Rhinolophus ferrumequinum: one gene and its partner. The protein of the gene in region 1 purifies or fractionates together with the protein of each later gene. This does not show direct contact. Links are inferred from orthologs where the notes say so. Each region holds a gene or a part of one and is shown on either strand. Other genes may lie near its edges.

Evidence for each region. The genes of interacting proteins can lie anywhere in the genome.
Region 2: the proteins of BAG2 (region 1) and DNAJB1 purify together in Homo sapiens (affinity purification with mass spectrometry; 4 studies listed by BioGRID and IntAct, with this or other methods). This does not show direct contact. The link is inferred for Rhinolophus ferrumequinum from reciprocal best matches to the Homo sapiens genes BAG2 and DNAJB1.

Annotation. Positions count from the first base shown.
Region 1 is NC_046286.1:24,058,602-24,062,350, forward strand, and holds the start of BAG2 (BAG family molecular chaperone regulator 2), read left to right. Parts: upstream 1-891; 5' UTR 892-1,047; coding exon 1,048-1,160; intron 1,161-3,154; exon of another isoform or gene 3,155-3,749. UniProt on the Homo sapiens protein: Co-chaperone for HSP70 and HSC70 chaperone proteins. Acts as a nucleotide-exchange factor (NEF) promoting the release of ADP from the HSP70 and HSC70 proteins thereby triggering client/substrate protein release.
Region 2 is NC_046301.1:47,640,530-47,644,278, reverse strand, and holds the start of DNAJB1 (dnaJ homolog subfamily B member 1), read right to left. Parts: upstream 2,846-3,749; 5' UTR 2,735-2,845; coding exon 2,524-2,734; exon of another isoform or gene 2,480-2,523; intron 1,418-2,479; coding exon 840-1,417; intron 145-839; coding exon 1-144. UniProt on the Homo sapiens protein: Interacts with HSP70 and can stimulate its ATPase activity. Stimulates the association between HSC70 and HIP. Negatively regulates heat shock-induced HSF1 transcriptional activity during the attenuation and recovery phase period of the heat shock response.

The DNA of each region.
Region 1 (3,749 bases):
AGTATATAAATCTTTGTACTCCCAGCTCTACCCCACTTTTACTGACCTTTATATCTGACCTAGTGATCTATTGCATCTTTTCATTCTTGACAGATTTACATAAATTGGGTGTGAAATGGCCTTCATACCAATTATTTCACCCAAATTCCAACCGAAATCATTTTTAATAGGAAAAAAACTCATTAAAAATTCCTTTGTTAGAATGGGTAGAAATGAAGTATTATTATAAATTCCCTTGCTTCCTACATCCAGCTGGAAAGAGAAAGATGGGGTCACTTTTTCTTTTTTCCCTTATACCTTAAGTGGTGTTATCAGGCTATCATTCTCATTTCTGGAAAGTGGTAACAGGGCAGGTCAAGCAAGTATGGACTGACGAGGAACTGTACTAAATGGCTTTTCACAAAGGGACCTTTTCTCCACATATCCATGGACTTAACGTTTTTGGTGTTTGCTGTGAATTACGGGGGCTGGGAGAAATTAAGCGAAGCCATCACCGAGTAACACATCCACAGCTTACCGTTAGGTCCCTCAGCGTGTAGGGAGGTGGTTTGGCGGGGGCTGCACAGAGAATCGACGCCTCACGGAGGTAGGGGTGGCGGGGATGGGGGCGGGGCGTTTTGTGCTTCTCCGCATCGGTTTGGGTTCCAGGGTCCGCAGAGAAGGACCCGCGCGGATCACGGTAGGGCCTCCGCCTGGTGCGTTCGTCCTTCCAGGTATCTCAGAGGCCGCCTGGTTTTGCTCCTCAGGCCCCCTAACCCTAAGGGCCCATCCTCGAGCCCCGGTGACAGCTAGTGCCCTCCCGCAGCCGCGGCAGCTGCCCCTAGCGGGCTCTGCAGCCCCCGAGCCCCGCGGGCGCGCGGCGCGCCTGTCCTTGTTTGGCCACGCGGCAGCGGCGGTATTGGCGTCCTGTCGGGCCGCCCCCCGCGGGCGTCAGAGGGAGGCGGGCGCCCCGCGCGGTGACGGCGACGCCTGCGGCCGCGGGAGCTCTCCACTCCCAGCCACCGGAGAGGCCGGTGACCTCTCGACCGCCCCGCCTCAGAGGCTCAGATGGCTCAAGCGAAGATCAACGCGAAAGCCAACGAGGGGCGCTTCTGCCGCTCCTCCTCCATGGCCGACCGCTCGAGCCGCCTGCTGGAGAGCCTGGACCAGCTGGAGCTCAGGTGAGGCGGCGGCGGGTTCGCTGGCCGGGGCCGTGCGCGGCGGGGCGGCCCGGGCACAGCCCCCGGGCAGGCTGCAGCAAGGGGAGCTGCTTGCTTGGGACTTGTTTTCTATGGAGATGGTGCAGTTTTGTTTTCATGGTGGATTTTCCTTTCCTCGCTTGAGAGGAAACGCATTCGACTTAAGCAAAATCTGTGAGCGCGTTATTGGCGGCCACATGTTCCTTGACAGACCTGAACGTTTGGGAGCGGAGAAAAATAAGGAAAGATAAAAGTTCAGTGACGTCATTTGAGATTAGGGACAGTGACACTCCGAGTCTACAGAACTTCTAGAACCTTCTGTGTGCCGGTATACGGTCTTCCCAAATGTTTTTAACTTACTTTCCTATTATGCATTTTTAAGAGAAGCAGTAGTTTAGCGGTCCCCTATGTGACTGATCAGTTCTTTGCTCCAGAACACTTCAGAGCAAAAAAAAAAAGTGTAAAAATGCAGGAATCCATCTGATAGTAGGGATTAGAGAGAAGAAGGACAAATGGGCTGCTGGGTGAAGGATAGCTATGTACTTTGTGGAATAAAGACACCGCAGCTTCCCTTTTCCCCATAACCCCACATACTGTATTCAGCACTAACTTTAGTCTCCTTCCATAGTAGACACTGTGCTGACATCTTGAAAGTGCTAGACATTGGCCTGAAAGCATAAGATAGTCACAGTTATTCCCTCTTAACTGATTAAGATTTTAGTAAATGATTAACATTGTGGTAGGCTTGTATAGAATTTCTAAATAATTTATGTTAAATTTTGGAAGTACTTTTTTTCCTTTAACAGTGTATGAAAAACTTTTATGTACTTCCTATAAACTTTTGTGTCACTAAAGTTACTGTGTAAATTGTGTGCAGATGTAGTTAAATGAAAATCTTATGAACGCACCCACAACTCCCAGAAACTACACAGAATTTTCTTTCATAATTTTCTCCAGGTTCTGGGTGAGTATAGGAGTATGTGAGCCAGAAATTTTAAGAAGCATTGCACTGTCTGTATCTCCATCGATTAATATACCAAAGCAAGAAGAGGTGTCTATTTTCCAAGGAAGTGTATTAACAACCACAGTATATCTTAGCAAATGAGGCACTTATTATTATTACTACCACAAGAAAGGAGTGAGAATATGAGAAACTCCACCCACAATGATTTCATGGATGGCAGCTGTTAGACAAACATGAGCCAAAACCACATTCTGGATTCTGCTCAAAGAGACAAATGGAATGAGACAAAAGTAATGTTTCCCCATTACTTTTAACATTAATATTTTTACATCAACTCCCACCCCCCCCCCCAGAGAAAGTGGAGCAAAACTAGAGATCAGTGCCCTCAGCTATGTATTGTCCTTCTGAAGAATGTTTATTTTTATATAAAAGCATAACAAGCAACACACGCATGTCCCCAGGTCTTTAGAACTTTGAGGGCATGTTCTCAACCATATCAGGTGTCTCTCTCTCCCCTAATCAGAAAGTATTTTTCTTTAAAGCAGTGAGGGTGTTGCCCCTCCGTCTTCAAGCTGAGTCATTGTCCTCAGACTGGAATAATTTCTGTGTGTGATAGGTACAAATGCAGTCAAGTTTTCATCTCTAAAAGCCTCTGGTTTTGAGTATTATTATATTTTAATGTTGATTAATATAAAGTAAATTCTGATGACTCTGTACAGGTCATTAAAATATAACGTTTTTAACCCTTGAGCTGAGGAGGAAAGACTGATTAATATGTTCATTTTAAGGACTTTTCTCGTAATTTTAAACTTTTGTAAGCTTTGCTTTCTTTAAGTAATATTGAAGGAAAGGTGTGGTAGATGAGGGTAAAAGGGATCAAATATATGGTGATGGAAGGAGAACTGACTCTGGGTGGTGAATGCACAATGGGATGTATAGATGATGTATTACAGAATTGTACACCTGAAACCTATGTAACTTGACTAACAATTGTCACCCCAATAAACTTTAATTAAAAAAAAGTAAGTATTAATAATATTAACCGAAAAACTAAGGAACTGTTTCAGAAAGTAAGTAAAAATAGAGAAAATGCGAATGCCCATCCACTAAAGTTTATTTGAAACCACGTGGATAATGTAACAGAGAACTACAGTATTGAAAACTAGAGTAAGGGACAGTGTCACAGAGCTCTACATTGTTAAAAACTAGAAAACTGTTAATTTCATATTAAAGATGATTAATAAAGCAGTGTATTAAGTACATTGGTACCTCGATTTTCCAACGTCTCCGTTGACGAACAGTTTGGTTTATGAACGCTGTAAACCCGGAAGTAAATGCTTCGATTTTCGATCACAACTCAGAAGTCGAATATGTCACACGGCTTCCGCTGAGTGCAAGATCTTGAGGCGCCTAGCTGTCGGCTGTTTGCGAACATTTCAGAACTCGTGGATTACGTTTGAAAACTGAGGTACCACTGTAGTTTATACTTAGAACCTTGCATTTATAGTTCCTTTTCAGTACTAATTTTGTCAATTTTGGTAGAAACTTTTTCTGTATGAAACTGAAAACAGAATTATGCTAAATGCATTATGTCATTGAGTTTGAAC
Region 2 (3,749 bases), on another chromosome or scaffold:
CCCACGTTTCTCGGGTGTTTTGGGGAGGGGGAGGCCTTCTCCAGGAACTTTTCGCCGCATGCCTGGCCTGATGACATCTTTGAACACGACGGGTATGGTTTTGCCTTCCAGAGTGGGGACGTTCACAGTACAGCCACACAGAGCCTTCGAAAGCAAAGTGACAGTGTTAGATGGAGATTACCTTAGGAAGCTCCACTCCTGCCCAGAAACTATCTGGGTAGAGTAAGAGCCATCAGACCTCTGTAGCTAGGCCCTGCCCTCCAGATCTACCCAGGTCATCAGCATGAAAGCTCCTGAAAAACAGAGTCCTGGCCAGCCTTGCTCCTGCCGCACCCCCAAGTCTGGAGGCACCAAACACTCAGAAATAGCTGTTAAACAAATACCGGGGCAGCTGGATGGCTCAGTTAGAGCATGAGCTCTTAGCAACAGGGTTGCCGGTTCAATTCCCACATGGGCCAGTGAGCTATGCCCTCCACAACTACATTAAAGACAAGGAACTGCCGCTGGGCAACCGGATGGCTCAGTTTGTTAGAGCGCAAGCTCTTAACAAGGTTGCCGGTTCAATTCCCACATGGAATTGAAGGAGGGCCCTGCCGTGTGCTGTGCCCCCCCCACCCCCAACTAGAATGAAAACTGCGACTGGACTTGGAGCTGAGCTGCGCCCTCCACAACTAGACTAAAGGACAACAACTTGGCTTGGAGCTCATGGGTCCTGCAGAAAACACTGTTACCCAAAAAAAAAAAAAATTAAGAGAGATATGAAAAAAAAACCCCAAACTGCTGCAAAAAGCGCTATCTGCTATCTCCCTCCACAGACACTGCCCCACCTAGTGCCTTACCTCCCGCAGGGTGACCCTGGCTGGGTAAATGACATCAGAGCCATCTCTCTTAAAGATATTGTGTGGCTTGTCCTTTAAAACAAAGACGATGTCGGCTGGAATGTTGTTGGAAGTCTGGTCTCCCTCCTTGGGGAAGGTGATTTTGGTCCCTTCTTTCCACCCCCGTTTCACTTCGATGGTCAGGATTTTGTCTTCATTGCGAATGCTCTTCCCATCGGGGTTCAAACGTTTATGGGAGATCTTCATCTTCTTGGTACAGCCGCTATAGATCTCTTCGAGAGAAACCCTAAGGTCATGGGTGACAGGGGGGTCTTGCTTTTTTCGGGTGTGCTCTTGGGCAGGGCGAGACCGTCCAAAGCTCAGGTTGGGGAAGCCACCCATGCCCATAGGGAAGCCAGAGAATGAGTCATCAATGTCCATGCCTTCCTCCCCGTTCCGCTGCCCAAAAAAGTTGTCAAATGGATTTCGGCCGAAGAACTCAGCAAACATGGCATGAGGGTCTCCATGGAATGTGTAGCTGAAAGAGGTACCATTAGCACCACCGCTGCTCCCACCACTGGGACCACCGCCCTTTAGGCCTGAAAGACAAAATCCCAAGAAGTCAGAGGACTGGCCAAAAGCTTTCCTTAAGGGAAAAGTGCTTGGGGGTCACTGGAAGAGAAATTTTTTTAGCCTCTCAGTAAAGAACAAGGAAGAACCTGAGCTTTTACCTCCCACAGTAGCAGCAGAGACAGATTCCCTATCCAAGTACTTCAGTATGGCAAAGCAGAGGTGAGGGAGCTCAAGCTCTGACATGACTTTTTTTAGGGCCCACCCACATCCTGCCACTTCTTCACTGACCTACCCTCCCGACAATAATACAAAGACTTAACAAAGAATTCACTGAGATCAGATGAAAAACGCACATCCAGGGCCAGCTTTCAGCTTTCTAATTCTCACACCCTGGCACCGCTGCCATTATCCTTATGTGAAAAGTCACTTCATTTGTTAACACCAAGCCCAAAAGCCAGCGTGAGTCATCCACGGGCAATTGGACAAAAAGGAAAGCTCCTTTTTTCTTTCCTGAGGAGAGCTACCCTACGAGGCTGGGCAGAGTGGGTCCCCTCCACTCCCTGCACCTGGACGGCCACTGTGGGCGCTGGCAGCCATTTGCTTCCCCGGCGCGGGGCTGGGTAAGCACTTTACAGGAATTAGCTCACTCTGCCCTCCAGGGGCCCACGAGGGAGATAAGGGACAACTGGCGGTCCCCTTTGCAGTCTCACTGGACGCAGGTGGTGGCCGGCTATCAGCCAAAGGCCTCGTCCTGCACCCCTGCGTGGCGGGGCCCCGCACCTCTCCCAGGTGAGCTGGGGCCAGGGGTACGCAGCGCCACTAGCTGAAGAAGCCTCCGTTCCCTTCTCCATCCGCACCCGGGGGCGATCGGGGACGTGGGCGGAAGCATCCAGGGAGGGGCAGCCTCTGACATGCTAGAAGCTTCTGCGCCAGCGGCACGGCCAGAGCTCCACCTCTCATCCGGCGGCTGCCAATCCGAGGACGGAGGCGCCCATGGCCAGAGGGCGGGGGATGCTCGCCGCCTGGGGCAGCCACCCCCCGCCCCCCCGGGATGCTGCAGCCTTGCCGCCGTGCCTCTGTTTCCCCACCTGTCAAACGGCGGGGGCGCGCCCCCGGCCGCGCGCGCACGCACCTTCTTCCCCGTAGCGGTCAAAGATCTCGCGCTTGCGCGGGTCGCTGAGCACATCGTAGGCCTCGGCGATCTCCTTGAACTTCTCCTCGGCGCCGGGCTCCTTGTTCTTGTCTGGGTGGTAGCGCAGCGCCTGGCGGCGGTAGGCCCGCTTGATCTCCTCGTCTGACGCGCCGCGGGACAGGCCCAACGTCTGGTAATAGTCTTTGCCCATGGCCCACGCCTGCGGTCCGCCGCCCAGCTGTAGCCGTCCCCAAGCTCCGCCGCCGCCGCCGCCCCGTCCCAGACTCTATATACCCGTCCGGCGGAAGCTTCCAGAGCCCGCCAGCCCCCTCCAGAGCCTTCCGCCCCGCCCCCTGCACCGCACCGACCAATCGTCGCCACCCAGCCCGCGACGCTTGACGTTCGTGGAGGGGGCCGCGCCGCCAACGGCTGTCCGCGCGTGGCCACGCCCCTTCCCGCTCGGTCCTCGGCAACGCCTCCCCACGGCGCGCGCACCTCGAAGGCCCTGCCCACCCTGCGCGAGTTGCCAATCGCGACCTGGTTGCACTGTCCGGGATGGCCGGGATGACCCCTGCCGCGCGCTTCGCCCCCTGCGTGGATCAAGAGGTTTCGACGCACTGCTAGGGAAGGGCGGCCCCGCCCCTTCCCCGGAGGAGGTGTACCTACCGGCTCGCATCTCACAGGGTCGGGCCCCGGCCAAGGACTTTGGGCAAGTTGGTGAATGTCTTTCTGTCCCAGATCCCCCTTCTAGGAATAAAAATACCCACCCGCCTTCTTGTCCCTGCAATGGGGAGAGTGCAATTGGGAGTCCTAGGACTATGCCTGTTTTCATCAGACAGGTCCCTCTGTAAAGCGAGCTGAGGACTAGGGACCAAAGGTCACTTCCCTGAGAGGTCTTCCCAGTCGCGCTCCTCAGGCCTTTCACTTCACCGTTTTCTTAAGAACACCTGCCAATAAAATCTGAAATTATCTTGTTCCGTGGTTTTCATGCTAAATGTCACCTGCCTCCCAGCCTGTGATTCCCACCTCCAGTGTTTGGCACCCAGTTGCAGTGGACACTTCATAAATATTTCTGGCTGTTTTGAATGCACCTGCTTCTTTTTCTCCATTACCTTTATGATTTGGGGGGACATGGGTGGGTCCTACACCTCTAGGGCCTCTGTTTCCTCTTCTATGGGGCACATGATTCCTTCTGGCTCTGAGAGTCTGAGGTGCCTGTGGTCAAG